Arabidopsis thaliana: one gene and its partners. The protein of the gene in region 1 interacts with the protein of each later gene in a pairwise test. Each region holds a gene or a part of one and is shown in the gene's direction. Other genes may lie near its edges.

Region 1 (4,607 bases):
TGTTGATTGATGCAACATAGAAGCTATCGATCAACACCTTCATTTCTTGTATTTTTTTCCTTCAGTTTTGCTCCAAAAACTTTAATCTTGTTCGAATCCAGTTTTTATCTAAACTGACTCTATAAATACCAGAGATTCTTTATAACACTGAAAACTTATTGAGTATATTAGATTTAGAAGTTTAGTAAATATTCTAACACCTCAAAGTTTGAGACAGAATTTTTAAGTTGATCAAGTTATAACAGTATTCTGAAAAGTGTATTTTCCAATCTTATTGATATGTTTCATTCACGATTTTTTTTTCTCCTTTCTCTTATCCCTCGACGATTGAATTTAAGATCAGATGTTTTAGCCCGTCTAGCCAAAATGTTTTTTGAAGACATTGGCTTTGTAAATTATACTCATTTGGTTTGAGCGATAATCAAGAAATTACTTTACAATTTAAGTTTGAATTTGGCAAAAAAAAGTTTTTGTTGTGCGTTTATTTGACTAGATTATATTATACTTTACTCTAACTACAATCATATATATACATTGGTAACACGATAGACAACATATATAAAAGTCTTTTAAACTATAAAAGCCAACATATATATTCCATAGTATTCTTTAAAACAAAAACAAATATGCATGTAAATAATAGATTTGTCTTTTTATTGTTGTCACTGTAGCGACATTTTTTTCCGTCACTGTAACAACGTATATTTTCTCCACAGAACTAACAAATTCGAATCTATTTGTTTGATGGTGTTCATTTTTAATCCAATGTACATATGCAAGTAGTAGATATCTCTTTCTTTTTTGTATATACACGATATATAAAATAGTTCACTAAGTTATAAATCTAAAAATTTATTTTGATAATATTTTGTTTACCAAATAAATACACAAATAGTATATATGCGTTGTTCGTCATGATATCGTCATATATAAAATCCACTACAATATAAAATTTTGGTCATTTTGTTTGATAATATTTATTTTTCACCAGATATAAGCATGTAAATAATAGATTTTTTTTTTCTTGTCGGCTCGTTAACGACATTTATAACGGAATAACGGTATACTAAAGTACAAATTTTTATTCTATTCCCTTTATACCAAATAAGCTTTCATGGTAACATCCGCTAAATTATATATTGTCATCATGGTAACATCCGCTAAATTACAAATTTCAAATAATTTTTACTTTTACCAAACAGAAAAGTAAGAAATATTTTTTTGTCGACACTTTAACGATATATATATGTAACGGTATATAATTTACAAATTCAGAAATTTTGTTCGCTATATATTTTCTTACAAATTTTTTTTTTTTTGTTTATGTGTTAACAACATATATAACTACAAATTCGATAATTTTGTTTGAATATTTTTTCTACTAGATACACACACAATAGTTTATATTATATATATATATATATAAATCTTGACCTAACTAAAACATATAGTTTAAAAGGGTGTTATTAGTTCTTAATTAATTAAAAAAAATTCAAGAATCTGATAAAATCATAGATTGTAAAGAAATGAAAGTTTCTAAACTATTATTATAGAGTTTTCTATAATCTTGTTGATTAGTTTTTCACAATTTCTAAATTTTCTCAAACAATCTTTCTTTTTTAATGATACTTTTCGTAACTTTATTTTGGAAAAAGTGTAGAAAATCATAAACCAATAACACAATAATTTAATTCATTGACAATTATAGATTCTTTTGTTTTAGCTAAATAATATAAAATTTATAATAATTTTATAAAAGTATAAATCCAATAACTATAGATTTATCAAGATTTTAAATTATTTTTTACAAATCTTAATATTTTAAATTTTTTTAATTGAATAACAATAGATTCTTTATAATATTTTAAGTTACTAAAACTTTAATTAAATCACAAACTAATAACACTCTTTAATAGTGTATACTAGTATTATTGTTATGTCATTATATAGATTTAAATCCGCATATTACATTGCTTTAATAAGAAAAATTACTTAAAATTGCAAAGTGGCGATATAACATGTTTTATAGATTTAGTACAAATATGTTCCTAGTTTAAATAGGGATAAATGCAGCAAAAACCAAATTATATTATATTCTTAATAGGCAGTAACTTAATTTATAAGATTGTGATTTGTGCAGTCTTTGTTACAAAGGTGAAAAAGGGTAATAAATAAGATTCTTTTGGAGAAAGAGAAGTGAACACGTGGCAAAACATAAGTGGATATAATAACAAAAACCAGTTTTTATATGAAATAAGAGAAGCATGAGAGAGAGATAATTAAACCATCTCTCAAAATGGCTTTGACTGTTCACAAGAAAGCTCCCCAAAAGGAGCGTTGCTTTACTCTCCTATAAAAAGAAGCTCTTCTACTTCTTCTCGTTACCACAAAACTCTTTCACCGATCTTCTCGTTCCATTCTTCTTCCTAATTACACCATGCCCAACATCACCATGGGTTTGAAACCCGACCCGGTTGCTCCAACGAACCCGACTCATCATGAGAGTAATGCTGCCAAAGAGATTCGTTACAGAGGCGTTAGGAAACGTCCATGGGGAAGATACGCCGCTGAGATCCGAGATCCGGTTAAGAAAACTCGAGTCTGGCTCGGTACGTTCGACACCGCTCAGCAGGCGGCGCGTGCTTACGACGCAGCCGCGCGTGACTTTCGTGGTGTTAAGGCTAAGACCAATTTCGGTGTTATCGTTGGTAGTAGTCCTACTCAGAGTAGCACCGTCGTCGACTCTCCCACGGCGGCACGGTTTATAACACCTCCGCACCTCGAGCTCAGCTTAGGCGGCGGCGGCGCGTGTCGTCGTAAGATCCCGCTTGTGCATCCGGTTTACTACTATAACATGGCGACGTATCCAAAGATGACGACGTGTGGTGTCCAGAGCGAGTCTGAAACGTCGTCGGTCGTTGATTTCGAAGGTGGAGCTGGGAAGATATCTCCGCCGTTAGATCTGGATCTTAACTTAGCTCCTCCGGCGGAATAGGCCGTGAGTTTTTTTTTTCTTATGTCGTTTCTTTAGACAAAAAAAAATAACGTTTCCTTTTTTTTTCTGCCTAAGAAAAAAATATTATCCGTTTTTTAGAAGAAAGTGTAGAAAAGCTCCAATATAATTTTTAGCTGCCGTGAAAAAAAAGTCGTTATGTATATATTATTATGAAACCCTATTATAAATCGACGTAACATAAGAGGATCTTAAGCTTTTTTTTTTTCTTTAGTATTTGCCAAGGAAATGCATCATCGTAAATTCGTAATTGAAAAGATAAAGTATTATAGAGCTTTTTGGGGCTCGTGTGTAGAAGAAATAGATAAAGAATGGTAATGTTATTATTATAAGACTAAATATAGTGATGAGTATCGTCGTCGTCGGCTTGAAAAGACAATGGTCCAAGTGTCGTGAAGACACGCACCAATCGTGGGAGGACCGGACCCATCTTCTCTGGCTGCGGCGTACGTTAGAAGAATACTTCTTTACGCTTACGTCATTTTCACAGTTTGGACTGCTTTTCTAACTTTTGACTTTTGTGTTTTGCATCAACTCTTTTAACTCCGATGATTTATTAACAGATGGTTAAGAGTCTTGCTTAAGTTGAATAGTATTCGATTTGAAATGGTAAAAATGTTTTAAGGAAGTTGAAGATAAGAAGAGCGGCGGCTTCATAATGAGAGACAAAGGAAGGATGAGATTTGATTTTGATTCTTGTCGCCAACTTTGTGATCAAAAAACGTATAAAACAGTTATGCTCTATGGTCGCAGATCCAACGGCTGGAATCGTCATCGTTACCACGTGGACGCTTAACATAATTTAAATTCTTATTTCATATTTTTTTAAAGAAGTTAGTATGTTTTAAAATATATATATATGCATGCGTACAAAATCGTGTTAAGGGTTATAATAAAGGGATGTAAAATTGGGGCCTCTAGAAAGTTGAATAGTTTCAATTAAGCCCTTATCTTAACGACATTTAGCCCCACTCAACCAAATATACACCCATGTCATGTCACTACGCACAACTATGGATCACTCCCATAAGTAGATGTTTTATATCAATTGACGATTGCAACTTTTTTACGTTACAAATTTAATGCTGGACCGAAGGCTACCATACTAGGATCCGAAAGCCCGATCCACGTGTGGCGTCATCAGGACAATGTTTGCGACACGTCGGCTGAGGTGTTTGGCGCGGTGTTTATGATAACGGCGTTTACACAAACCTCTGTTTATGAGCTCTGTGACTGTGACTGTATGATTTTAGTAAAATAACGAAAACAAATACTAGGTCCTTTCGTTCTTTGACCATTTCTCCGACCAAAAAGGGACCACTTACTCATCTACGTATATTGGATAATACATTGTATTATCACCTTTAATGAATACGTGTCCTCTGTGAAGCTTCAGTGACCCAATGAGAAAACAAAAATGCTGATTTAGTGTGACCCCAAATTTTATTTATTTTGTACGTAAACAAATGTTTTCGTTGACTAAAGAAACTTTGCCATTGGGCGATGGCCTTTTATTTTGGATGAAAACTCAAGAACTTTTGTTTTGCTAAATTTCCTTGTTATGTTTAGGCCTCAAATAGAAAACTTAGCAAAA
Region 2 (4,692 bases), on another chromosome or scaffold:
AAAGTTACATATATATCCTGAAAAGTTTGCTTCACTGTATATATATCATCATCCTACACGCGCTTCACCGGCGTTTACCCTTTCAATTTCTGGTTAACTAAGTTGAACCGGATTAGTAATTCTTCGGTTTAGTTGTTCTTCTATACGACAATTTATCACTTGACAAATATAAACGATCTATTACTTGCAACATTCATATTTAATCTAGTATCTTACACGTACATATTTGTTAGAAATTCAATGACCAAACATTGCAAAACTATTACATTCACTTGTTGCATGTAAGCTAGAAGCCTAGAACTCGCTGTCAACGACTACAATGTCTACATTATTTTCACCGACACAATTTACATCTTAACCAAAATTTGGATATTGGACCAATCGTTCGTTTATATAATAACCACACGTATCAATCAACACACAGAAGACAATGACATGTAACAAACAGTGTAAAATATTGAAAATAACTTATCAAAAAACTTTAGTTCATAACACAAAAACTTTCGGCTATTTTTTATTGACTTCTATGTAGTCTTTTTGTTGCACTTACTATTTTTAAAAGCAATATGTATGTTTCCAGCAGATTCTTAGTTTTTACAAAATTTTGCCTTTAATATTTTTTTTGATATACATTGCCATTCTTGATTTCATTTTCTTCTACAATAGTATCAAAATTTTACAAAATAAAACTTCAAAAAACATACGAAAAAGTTAACAAATATTCAAAAAGAGAATGATTTTAAAAAGGATATAAATATAGAGAGAATAAAACGTAGAAGTTAACGATTTTTTTTTGTGAGTGTCACTTTAGATGGAAAATGAAATGATTGGGTAAAAACGCTCCACCTGTAAAACAGAGAGTGGAAGAAACGCTCCTGTGTACGAGCGTACTCTCTCTTCAAAAGAAAACAAATCTCTCAAAAAAAAGAAAGAACAATTGAAAAAAAAAAAGCAAATCTCAAACTCAAAGTACATATACTTACTTGACACGTGTTAATATACAGCTGTATCCCAAGTCCCCAACCGTTTTTCCTGGAAGATTCTCTGCTCTCCACGCTCGATGTTAACCTCACACAAACGCTTATCTCCCAAAACGCCTTTTCCAATCGCCAACGTGTTTTATTTTTGGTTTAAAATAAATATCTGTTCCAATCATACAAACACGTAAATGTTGTCAATTTTTTTATACCCAAACGTTAACGAGGTTTGTACGTAGCCCATTTATGGACACATAATTATGAACATATAAACAATGGTTAATCATACGTTTAAATTAATTAAATTCACCAATATTTTTTTGACTGAATGAGTCAAAATTGTTTAACGAGTAACGACCATAATTATCAGTTTTTATTTTTTATTGTTTGAACTACCATAGTTATCCGTTTAACACTGAGCAAATCTCTTTATTAATAGAGAAAACGGTTTTATTTGTTTCCTTCTATAAAATTTGTTTTTAATAATACGTTAGATATTTTTATGCAGTTAAGGATAATATTACACTGTAAAGTTTAACTAGTTTAATATCGTTTCTGTTAAATCGATAAGAAAAAATTACCGGTTGAACCGGTGACCCTTTTGCCCACTCCTTTCTCGTATAAATACTCTCTCTTCTTGCTCTTATCCTCTTCAACCAAAAAGCTTTTCTTCCCAACACACACAAAAAAAAAAACTGTAACGACCAAAAAAAAAGAGGACGCGTTAGAAGAAAAAAAAAGAACAATCCGATAAAAAGATCCGGCGATGTCAAACCCGACCCGTAAGAATATGGAGAGGATTAAAGGTCCATGGAGTCCAGAAGAAGATGATCTGTTGCAGAGGCTTGTTCAGAAACATGGTCCGAGGAACTGGTCTTTGATTAGCAAATCAATCCCTGGACGTTCCGGCAAATCTTGTCGTCTCCGGTGGTGTAACCAGCTATCTCCGGAGGTAGAGCACCGTGCTTTTTCGCAGGAAGAAGACGAGACGATTATTCGAGCTCACGCTCGGTTTGGTAACAAGTGGGCTACGATCTCTCGTCTTCTCAATGGACGAACCGATAACGCTATCAAGAATCATTGGAACTCGACGCTGAAGCGAAAATGCAGCGTCGAAGGGCAAAGTTGTGATTTTGGTGGTAATGGAGGGTATGATGGTAATTTAGGAGAAGAGCAACCGTTGAAACGTACGGCGAGTGGTGGTGGTGGTGTCTCGACTGGCTTGTATATGAGTCCCGGAAGTCCATCGGGATCTGACGTCAGCGAGCAATCTAGTGGTGGTGCACACGTGTTTAAACCAACGGTTAGATCTGAGGTTACAGCGTCATCGTCTGGTGAAGATCCTCCAACTTATCTTAGTTTGTCTCTTCCTTGGACTGACGAGACGGTTCGAGTCAACGAGCCGGTTCAACTTAACCAGAATACGGTTATGGACGGTGGTTATACGGCGGAGCTGTTTCCGGTTAGAAAGGAAGAGCAAGTGGAAGTAGAAGAAGAAGAAGCGAAGGGGATATCTGGTGGATTCGGTGGTGAGTTCATGACGGTGGTTCAGGAGATGATAAGGACGGAGGTGAGGAGTTACATGGCGGATTTACAGCGAGGAAACGTCGGTGGTAGTAGTTCTGGCGGCGGAGGTGGCGGTTCGTGTATGCCACAAAGTGTAAACAGCCGTCGTGTTGGGTTTAGAGAGTTTATAGTGAACCAAATCGGAATTGGGAAGATGGAGTAGAGTGATAAGAACAAGTTTTCCCTCTGTTTCTCGGGAAAATAAAAGTTTCAGGCTTTTCATGTATAGAGCCAGTAGTAGAGACGACGAAAGGAGGAAGCGAAATCAAAAAATGTTTTGTTATCATCATCATATGATCTTCTTTCGTGATTCAATTAAAAGCAAAGCAAGATCATTTATTAACAATTTACACAAACTTGAAGAAGAAAAGTCAAAAACACTTCTCAAACTTTTATTCTATGGGTTTGTTACGAGGAAACAAACATAAACTAAAAGTAGTAAATATAATCTCACGTGACATAATATATGACCTGAAGAAACCAGTCGAAACGAAACATATATACGATTTTGATGTTTCATAAGCGATCATACAATTCACAGTGTCTTGCTTTTGCAGAATTAGACAAAGAACAGCAAGTTACCCCCTAATGTGCAGAGCTTAAACTGTTGCTGCTGCTACTGGTTGGTTCTTGTGAGCGTAACTTGTTGATTAGATGAACTATGTCTTGTTTCCACGACCATGATGGATCGTTTAGACCACGTACTGAGTTTAGACACACCAGAAGAGTCCCGCCTTCATGTAGAAGTACCTATGATCACAAAAATGCAGGTTAGCGGTTTTGTCTCTCGGGTAAATGATGGATAACAAAAGCTTGTAGTGGGTATTAGCTTACGTACCGTCAACCACAATGGGACAAACCCTAAAACTGAAGGAAGAGCGGCCAAGAATATCGATGTTAATGCAAGAGCTACGTTTTGCTTGACCTGCAACATGATACATTCTTGTTAAATCAGGCAATCTAACATCTGAAACTGGTTAAGAACAAAGACTTTTATGTTTTATCTACCAATGATGTTGTCTGGCGGGATTTAGCGACACAGAACGGAACACCGGTGATGTTGTCTCGAAGCAGTAAGATGTCAGCAACGGCAATCGCAGTGGCACTCGCTCGTTGAGCAAGAACAATCCCCACTGTTGCAGCTGCTAGAGCTGGAGCATCATTAATCCCTTCTCCTACCATAATTAAACCTCCACCTAGCAAAAATCACAACTCTAAATTCTCAGTCTCTTGATAGATGTTTTTGATTGGGAACTATGGCGAGAGTAATGAATGATCACCTGCTTCCCGAGCAATGTTCTTTACATGATTTAACTTATCCTCTGGCTTTAGGTTGCAGTAGACTTCGGTAATACCCACTGCGTTTGCAACTCTCCAAGCACTTGAATCATGGTCCCCAGTTAACATCATTACTCGGAGTCTGGCCCAGCTTTTAAGTTCTGCTATAACTCCTGACACCCCTGGACGAGGCTGATCTTCGAGGTGAATCAATGTTACCTGACAAAATTTAGTTGCAAGGCTCATAAATTTCAGTGTTACAGAGGTTTTTATGGACTAATAAATGGTCAGATGAGAGATGAAAATCACAGACTGTGAAGTAGGAAAGAGGTTTTTAGACCAGCTAAAGAAGTAGTCGTAGTATACCTTTTGATCAACAGAAAGAGCAGCATGAACGAAGTCCTTTCCGTACGAAGACGCGTTTACAGCATCCTTGATCTGTTTAGATTCATCTTCAGATTTGAAAAGTGAGGTAATGAACTCTATAGAACCAAGTGATGCTTTTCGTAATCTACTCTCTTCAGCTACTGTCTATTACAAAACCAAAAAATGTGGTGAGAGACAACATCATATATATTAAGAATGAAAGCCAGAGATGTACACACATCACCCACAGCTATACACTATAAAATCTGGTAGATAAATGGATATATATAAGAATCTAGTAAATAACTGAGTCTCACCTTAACACCGTTGACAGTAGCAGTAAGGCCTCTACCAGGAAAATATTCGAAGCTTTCAACAAAAATAGAAGGAAGATCCTTACCCACACTGTGATCTACAACAGCTCTGCAGCAAGATGAAATGTGTCAGAAACAGCAGAAAAGACCTATAGTACTCTTCAGTCTCAATCTCTTACCAGACCAAGCAT
Region 3 (3,881 bases), on another chromosome or scaffold:
ATAGCTGAAAAGCAAATCTCTATTTGATCAATTAATTCGAACGCTCAATAGTATGTAAGAAGTCATTTACACAGTACCTCGGTAAGTGTTTGAGGGTTAAATATTTGTTGAATTTTTAACATCACACTAATTTAGAGTATAATCTAAATTATAAGGTATACGTATGAAATCATAGCTCAATGATGATAGAATTCGTTAATTATTCTCGTAAAAGTGAATATTTGATTTAAAATGAGTCAAAATATATTTGATTTGACGAATTCTAAAAGTGTTCCGCTTGAGTTATAGAAACATGCTCAAAATGATGGTGATGACTTTTTTTTAGTTCTTTATTTGAAAAGTCAGTTTGGAAATGAAAACAGTAAGGCTGACCAAACAATATACAGTATGTTATCCAACTCTTATCCGTTTTAAGAAAACAAAGTATGTGTAAGAGTCGGGTAATATGATATCAGGTTATTTCTAAACCATCTGTCTTGTAACCCATCATTTTACTTGGATATATTTTCTTACATACAAATAATTTATTATAATAGTTTAGACATGTCAATTGGACTAGTCCAGTCTGACAAAGTCCAGAAAATTCGAATATATTTTATTTAGTCTGGTTCGGTTAGTAAAAATTTTGAAATAAAAAAATTTGAACTTATATTTCAAGATCTGGTAATAACAGGGACAAGACTTTTCCAGGTTTTTTATGTTTTTCTTTCCAGAAAAAAACAAATTTATAATTTATAATATTTCTGAAAGATGGATATATGAACAAAACAAATCAGTTGAAATTTAAATAACCATGAAAGCCAGTTTATTTTCAAAAAAAAAGGTTTAAAATCAAAAAAAATAATCTAATTTTTTTATTTAAACTCATAACAAATAAAATATAAAATCAGAAGATTTTAATCTAGACAGTCGAGCCAAGATTTGTTTTTTAGATTTATAGTAAGGCACAATTGAAAAACTAGGTTTAGGGTTTTCAATACTATTAAAAAAAACAAAAACAAATATTCCAATTAAAGAAAAATATTAACAAAAGAAAAGTAAAAAAAAAAATTAAAATTTTTTTAGGCCGGCTTGAATCTGGTGGGATTAAGCCTCAAAAACTTTTTATCCCGAATGGGTTAGCTTAAGGGAATTTTCTGGATATATATTTTTAAGTCTGAATCTCTATTTTCAGAATTGATAGTCCGGGGAATTTGACCCTAAATGAAATATAGTTTGATAAATAAACAAATAGACAATATCTGAAGAACAAATTAACCGTCCAAAAAAAAATATGCGAACTCCTATCCAAACACCTAGTTTAAAAATAACAATATAATATTTTAAATAACAATGTTGGAATATCATTAATTTCTAAGGAAAAAAACTAAAACCTTAACTTTAAAAAAATTAAAATAGGATAAAATAGGACTATACTTGTACAGTTGTATCAGTAAATAATAATTTCTGTAAACTGCCAGAAGAAAGGTTTATTTTCCTTTTTTTAGTGGACCTATCAATTAATTATTCCAATATAACTTCTTTTTTTCAGGTCCACTAAATATATTTTCTATACTACATATTATATTACATGATAATATTTCATTCTCAAATATACCTATATAAATTTAAGATTTCTTCTATTTACCAATTAGTTTAATTATTAGTTTGTTACACCATTATTGTTTTCCATACATAACATAAATAGAAATAGAGTTTTCTGTAACGTTTCTATATAATCCAAGTGAAACAAACATATTTTCCACTTCCATTTACAAAAGAAAAAGAAAAAAAAAACAGAGAAAAATGGATTCGAAAAATGGAATTAACAACAGCCAAAAGGCAAGAAGGACTCCAAAAGACCGCCATTTGAAAATTGGTGGCCGTGATCGTCGCATTCGGATCCCGCCGAGTGTTGCTCCCCAACTATTTAGATTGACAAAAGAACTCGGCTTTAAAACCGATGGTGAAACTGTCAGTTGGCTCCTCCAGAATGCCGAGCCTGCCATTTTCGCAGCCACGGGACATGGTGTCACCACCACCTCCAATGAAGATATCCAGCCAAATAGGAATTTTCCTAGTTACACCTTTAATGGTGATAATATTAGTAATAACGTTTTCCCTTGTACGGTTGTAAATACTGGTCATCGTCAGATGGTGTTTCCGGTTTCTACAATGACAGATCATGCACCTTCAACTAATTACAGTACTATTAGTGATAATTACAATTCCACCTTTAATGGTAATGCTACCGCCAGTGATACAACATCAGCAGCAACAACAACAGCCACAACCACAGTTTGAGCTTGTGAAGGAGGAGACGGCGTCGCTGAGAAGGCCAATTTGGAGTCTTTAAAATAAATATTGGAGATTTAAGAGTGTTCAGTTCTGGACGTTTTAGTTCGTTTCTGTTTGCTTTTTCTTTCCTCTTCATGTTTTTCAGTTTGAGAGTTGAACTAGGGTTTGTTTTAGTTCGATCGGTATCCATTTGTCTTTTTTTCTTGTATGCTCATGTTTTTTTAAGATGAATAATAATACCTAAAATTAATTATAGATGTAATTTAAAACTGTTTGTCCATGTTTGAAGTTTAGTAGAGAATTTGATTTCAACAATGGATTAAATTAAACTCTTCACAACAAATTTGATTCATTTTTTCTTTTTTGGACACGAACAATTTCGTTGGTATTCTAGAATAAATAATTCTGTCATAATATTTACCGAAACATAACTTTTATGTACAGTTATTTATTTCCGTTTTCTAATTTGTCAAAATTCGTTTGTCTTTCGAACCTAAAGGTTCCAACGGTTATGAAAACATTAATTAAAAACGGATATCAAAAACTATAATATAAATAAATTAAAGAGATAATAAAAGGAACAATTGAGTAAGAATGTGGTTTTATATCTGTTAAAGAAATTTCCAGCTCACACTTAGCTGGACAATAATTATTTAAGATTTGTTTCTGTATTTAGCTTCATACATCTATTTTAATATTTCTTAATACACAGATATATATTTTAATATATATATATATATATTATTTTCAAGATTCTCAAGGAAAAAAAAAGAAAAAAAAAAGGAAGGAAAACTAAATCTAAAGAATAAGAAACTAATTTTTGTGTAAATAAAAATTACTTTAATAAACTTTTAATAGTTTTCCCTTAAATTCTTTTACTTTATAGATTGGTTAATATGTATTTAGAGAAAAATACTATTTAACCTTTATTTAGATTAAAAAAAAAAACTTGAGTAAGAAAATGGTTTAAAATTCTTAAAGAAAATTCCAGCTCACTTTAAGCTAGAAAAAGAGATTATATAGTTTATAGTATAAAAATAAATTTAATCATACCATGTTTAATAAAATTTGAAGAAAAACTTATTTTCTTTTTCCATGAATAACAAGATTTTTCTTAACAATTAAAATTTCTTTTAGCAACATATATTAATACTTTAGTTTTCTGTTTTTTTGTTGGACATGGGTTCCGCCCCATTCCAAAAAGCCCGGCCCAAATATAGTTAGGCCCATAAGAAAGAGACTTGCGTTTGGTCCGTTACACAAGCTCAGCCCATTAAGTATCGTCAATTTGCTGGGAGCAGAAAAGAAAAATCATCCCGAGTTCATGACCGCATATATCTTCCCTATAAAAGCGGAAAAACACTGTCGAGAAAGGATCCCGAATTTCACGCTGACACATATGTAGAGAGTACATGTAATCTCCTTCGTACAAGTTTCCCCATTGAGTTCCTAGGAAGCCTTTTTTTAATCGTTAGTACGTACGAACATCTTTCGAACCAAACGCCTTGTCCGTCATTCTTGCACCTTTATTCAAACGAGTTGGATACATTGTCTTCTCGGATTGTCCTTGTAAACTCGTACCTTCACCTTGTATAATCTTGTAT
Region 4 (5,513 bases), on another chromosome or scaffold:
AAAATATATATTAAATAATTTACCATTTTCATTAATTATGTTTTTTCTTAATAATTGAATAATTTGAAAAATATTCTTGTGGTCCCTTTTATTTTATTTGTTTCTTATACCTCGAATACAAGTCGCTTTTTTTTTTACATCACCTCGAATAAAAGTCACTTGACGTGTGAATAAATACATAGTATGGACGACGGGAAATTAAATTAAATTATATGGAGTATGCATTTATTTGCCATTATTCTGATGATATCGTAAACCGTAAGGTACAAAGAAAATAAAAGAGTTGTTTTTGAAAAAGCTGCTACAATGGAAGGAATTTTACCAGAGTCCAGAAGAATAGACAACACATAGAAACAAGAAGAAAACAAAAGAAAAAGATAAAAGTATCTCAATTTTTGTTTTTTTTGTATTATAAAATAAAAGCCCACAAGGTCACAAGGAAATTATAAACTAAGAAAGTGAACTGCTCTTATTTCTTAATTGTGTTTTGTGTAATTAAGACTTGAATGGTCATTAGCAATTGCCGCAATTTGGTAGTTAGTGCTTCTTTTACGAATCAATAAAAATGAGATTAGTCCCCACTCACCTAGAGGAACAACCGCCACCGTAGTTGAGACAACAACTTGTCGTGTTTGTTAGAACTTTTCTAAAACGAATTAAGTTTGTCGATTAGAACAATTATACCTAAAAGGTCAAAACATGAAAATGAAACATATTTTTTGACCGTCAAAAAGAAAAATATATCTTAAAACATTAGTCATCAAGAAGCAGAAATAATAATCTTAAGCAAGAAAGTAATAGTTTTCAGGTAAAATCTTAATATGTATTGGTGATTTGATGTTTTCATTTGTTTGATTTTAAAGAAATATAAAAATAGGGATTAGTGATAATTAAGTCGAAAATGTAAAGCAATAAAAAAAATCTATTTACCAAGACTTACTATATATACTTTTAGGCCAAAATTTACAATTCTGCCACCCAAGAGCAATTGTTCATATATCATCTATAACATAGAGTCTAATTTTACAACACTGATAGCCCGCAATATAAACCAAAAACTTTATATTATCAAAACTTAATAATAATCGAGATTTTGGTCTTAACAAAACTCGTAACAAACTTTGGTTTATGAATATATTTCAGTAACTATATTATCAGTTGATTATGATATTTTTATTTTATTGTTTATCTTTTGATTCTTTCTCACAATTGTATGTTCCAGAAAACGGATGATCATGGTATATAAGTGCACATATTTGGTAGGACCAATAATTAATAGTAACTTCAAGTAAATCATATAAATTCACAAGCATGACATGACAACCTCTTGAAGCTAATATCATACGTGACATAATTAATGGCGAAGGCCGAAGGGTAAAGGAACAATATGTGTTTTTAATTAACTAGCTTAACAAGTTAAGGCTTTATAGTAATGTTTAGAACATTCTTTCGTTTTGAATTAGTATCAATCTCACACTTTTAAATTTTAAGATGGTAAAAAATATTATTATTATACCTTACTACCAAATTTTTAGTTATTTAATGTTTTGGAACAAAGATGAGATATTGTTATTTATTATGACTTTCTCTTTGTTATCTACTTCAATACTCTTCCCACTAATTATCTGACACGTTTCTACACTGTTGTAAATTTGATGTCTGATAGTGCAAGACAAGCAATCTCCCATAATCCTAATTCTTGGCTCTCTTCTTTTTTTTCTTTCCCTTTACTGATAATTTGTTTTGGGTGAATATGAAAATCTTAGAGCATCCACATTACTCATACCTTTGTAGATATCTCAAAAATAAATTAAAATTAAATTAAAGACAGCTTCTATTTTAGAGATCTAAAATGTCTTTCTAAAGACACTATTACACAATTAAAAACATTAAATTATCTTTTTCTATTATTTTTAATTTAAAGACACCCTCAAAGTATCACCAATGAAGAATGAGGATGGTCTTATATTCAATATAACCTTCAATTCATCAATGACTGCGATATATCAATATTATAAAATGACATTTCATGAGTAAAAATGTATATAAAAATGAATAACTACTTATCTTATAAAGTCTAATTTAGTGATTGTTGTTGTTTCTTCAAATTTTAAATTAAATGATGTAGCTTTTTTTGTTTCAAATAATTTAGCTACACTTTTTCTTTTCCATATTTTGATCACAATTGTATTGTTTTTGTCTATATATTATCACCCAAATTTTAATTTGGTAGAGACATTATTGAATAAAATATCCTATATATGAATTAATAAAATGAAAACTAGGTGTAATTAATTAATGATCTTTTTTCTCTTTGTCTGTAGAAAAGTGAGGAAATAATTAGCTATGGCTATGGCTCTCATGTGTCTTTCTCATGCTTTATTGGCTTTCACTACTAATACTCTAAGCCCTTAGTTTAAGAAGTGCCTTCACATCCAAAACCCACCTGCAATTCTCTCTTTCTCTCTCTCTCTCTCTCTCTCTTTATCTTCTTTCTTCAAAGTCTATCACTTTATAAAACCCTAATTAAATCTCTAAACTCCTTAGCCTCTCTCTATTCTCAGAACCTTGTGGTTATTCTCAAGAAAGGTTTCATTTTGAGATAAAGTTTGCTGCTCTTTCTGGTTGTGGGTATGTGCTCTTAACTTCTTCAGTCAATTTTTTCATTTGGTTTAAATAGAACAATTTTGTTTTGGTGATACAATAAAGATTGTCTTCTTGATTATCATCAACCTCTCACTTGGAATAAGACCTTTCTTTCTCAAGTGGGTTTGTCAGCTTTTGCTTAAGCAGGCTTGCAATAAGTTTTTCTTTTCTTTTGTACTTTTTCGTTTTGTTCTCTATCTTTATGGACCTTCTAAAATTAGGGTTTTTCTTTTTGTTTGGAGGAAATAATTAAAAAAATGGGGTTAATGAGTAGTGAAGAAAGCTCTTGCCTTTTTGTAGCTTAATCATTTGAATTTTACTCATTAATTATCTTTACTCTTGTTTTTTTCTTCCTAACTAGTTTCTTTGTCCCCAAACCAAGAAACACTTTGCAAAACCCAAAAAAAGTTTTAAATATAAAATCGTGTTTATTTCCTTGGCAGATAGATCAAAAGAATGGAGATTGCAAGTCAAGAAGATCCTATTCCAATAAACACTAGTTATGGTAATAGTGGAGGTGGGCATGGGAACATGAACCATCATCATCATGCCAATTCTGCACCATCATCTCTCAACATTACTACTTCAAACCCACTACTAGTCTCCTCAAATAGTAATGGTCTTGGTAAAAATCATGATCATTCTCATCATCATCATGTGGGTTACAACATCATGGTTACCAACATCAAGAAAGAGAAGCCTGTGGTGATAAAGTACAAGGAATGCCTAAAGAACCATGCAGCTACCATGGGAGGCAATGCCATTGATGGTTGTGGAGAGTTTATGCCAAGTGGTGAAGAAGGTTCCATTGAAGCTCTCACTTGCTCAGTTTGCAACTGCCATAGAAACTTTCATAGAAGAGAAACCGAAGGTGAAGAGAAAACATTCTTTTCCCCTTACCTCAACCACCACCAACCACCTCCGCAGCAGAGAAAACTCATGTTCCACCACAAGATGATCAAATCACCATTACCACAACAAATGATAATGCCTATTGGCGTTACAACCGCTGGATCCAACTCAGAGTCAGAGGATCTTATGGAGGAAGAAGGCGGAGGAAGCTTGACATTCCGGCAGCCACCACCACCACCATCACCGTATAGTTACGGACATAATCAGAAGAAAAGGTTTAGGACAAAGTTTACACAAGAGCAAAAGGAGAAGATGATTAGTTTTGCGGAAAGAGTTGGTTGGAAGATTCAGAGACAAGAGGAATCTGTTGTTCAACAGCTTTGTCAAGAGATTGGAATTAGGAGAAGAGTTCTTAAAGTTTGGATGCACAACAACAAACAAAATCTCTCCAAGAAGAGCAACAACGTTAGTAACAATGTCGACCTTTCTGCTGGTAATAACGACATTACTGAAAATCTTGCTTCTACTAATCCTTAGTTAAGTTCAGATTGTTGTTATATAACTTCACTCATGTGATTACTTAATTAATTAAGTACTTTCTTATCGTATGGTTAATGTTTTCTCCTTTCTCGGCTAATCATTGTTTAGGTAGCTTTATAAACATGTGTTTTATTAGGGTACCTATAATCTTGGTTTTGGAGCGTGTAAGATAAGTTTTTGATGTTTTCTTATAATGTATGTTTAAGAAAATTCTTGGCGATTTAACCAATGCATTGGGATGTGCACTGTTATTATTTACTTCGAATCATTAGACTTTGTAGTTCGTGATATCATTTGTCACGTTTACTATTTATGTGAGTAGCAGAATTTTAGATTCTCATAGGTAACTCTTTTTGTTTTTGTTTTTTGAATTCTGATATTTATTAAAGGAAGTGTATCATACAAAGTCCATAACAAAATTAATACTAGTTACCTAAATCTTACGCCGGTCTTGTTTTGATTTGTCTTGTTTCTTTTTTGTCGTTGTTTTGATTTAACAAAATATTTTTTTTTGATTTGTCTTGTTTTTTAAACATCCGGTCTTGCTTTGATTCTATTATTTTGTTTTCTAGTTTGAAAAAATATTTTCATTCTCATGATCGAAAAATAAATTGCACGGAAAACAAAGAGAGCAATAAATTACGATTTCTATCAATGGAGAGAGTTGGAGATTGTCCTGGCGAGTGTAAGTCAAGTCCTAATATGTATGACGTATTAGGTTGAGTAAATGTTTGGTTGGTGTACTAGTAAACTCATTTATGGACCTTTTCTTTTATTTGAACAATTATGTGCATTTACTTTATGTGACTTCTTGGCATATTGCAAGTCGTGTAATGTGATATGGGATAAAATATGTCATGCATCAAAATGGAGTTACGATTTTAAGATGTTGTTGTTCCTTGTGATATCACATGTTTCATTTATTGTAATATTAAATGTAACATTTTCACTTGTTGTTTTATAGTAGTATAATTTTTTATGCCTATAGTTTATCACTCGATTTCAGTAAAACATCAATAATGAATTGCGTATTGCGTATTTCGTGGAAGATAAAAATTCAATTAACTGACATAGTTTATTGATTGCCATTACTATTATTTTGTTATTGAAACGTCATTTTATTCAAATATATTTTTATCTCCTTCAAGATTGACATAGCATTATAGCACTATAACAATATAAAATATATATATATATATATATATATATATAAATTATCCAACTCTTTACATATGATCGATACATCATCACTTTAACATTTATCATGTGTCTATTAAATAATTAATGTAAACTTTTCAATTTTTAATTTATAAGTTAATGATAAATTTATTATTTAATTTTATATATGATTTTATTTTACATATTTACTGTACTATTACTAAATTTATTTAAATATTACATGATTTTTCAATAAATTTTTCAATAAATTTATTTAAATATTTTATTTTAATAGTTTTTTCATACTCGAAGATTTT

Evidence for each region.
Region 2: the proteins of ERF8 (region 1) and MYB73 interact in binary tests that used the Arabidopsis thaliana proteins (3 or more experiments, as listed by UniProt).
Region 3: the proteins of ERF8 (region 1) and TCP16 interact in binary tests that used the Arabidopsis thaliana proteins (3 or more experiments, as listed by UniProt).
Region 4: the proteins of ERF8 (region 1) and HB21 interact in binary tests that used the Arabidopsis thaliana proteins (3 or more experiments, as listed by UniProt).

The regions. Positions count from the first base shown.
Region 1 is NC_003070.9:19,819,927-19,824,533, reverse strand, and holds ERF8 (ethylene response factor 8), read left to right. Parts: upstream 1-2,281; 5' UTR 2,282-2,437; coding exon 2,438-2,995; 3' UTR 2,996-3,197; downstream 3,198-4,607.
Region 2 is NC_003075.7:17,538,859-17,543,550, forward strand, and holds MYB73 (myb domain protein 73), read left to right. Parts: upstream 1-1,631; 5' UTR 1,632-1,743; coding exon 1,744-2,706; 3' UTR 2,707-2,941; downstream 2,942-4,692. Other genes in the region: HMA1 (heavy metal atpase 1), read right to left, coding at 3,129-3,293, 3,382-3,468, 3,552-3,739, 3,824-4,040, 4,188-4,352, 4,505-4,610. UniProt on the Arabidopsis thaliana protein: Transcription factor that functions in salt stress response. Acts as a negative regulator of NHX7/SOS1 and CBL4/SOS3 induction in response to salt stress. In response to auxin, activates the transcription of the auxin-responsive gene IAA19.
Region 3 is NC_003074.8:16,529,394-16,533,274, forward strand, and holds TCP16 (TCP domain protein 16), read left to right. Parts: upstream 1-1,785; coding exon 1,786-2,283; downstream 2,284-3,881. UniProt on the Arabidopsis thaliana protein: Required during early processes in pollen development.
Region 4 is NC_003071.7:681,200-686,712, forward strand, and holds HB21 (homeobox protein 21), read left to right. Parts: upstream 1-2,435; 5' UTR 2,436-2,631; intron 2,632-3,089; 5' UTR 3,090-3,102; coding exon 3,103-4,035; 3' UTR 4,036-4,297; downstream 4,298-5,513. UniProt on the Arabidopsis thaliana protein: Putative transcription factor.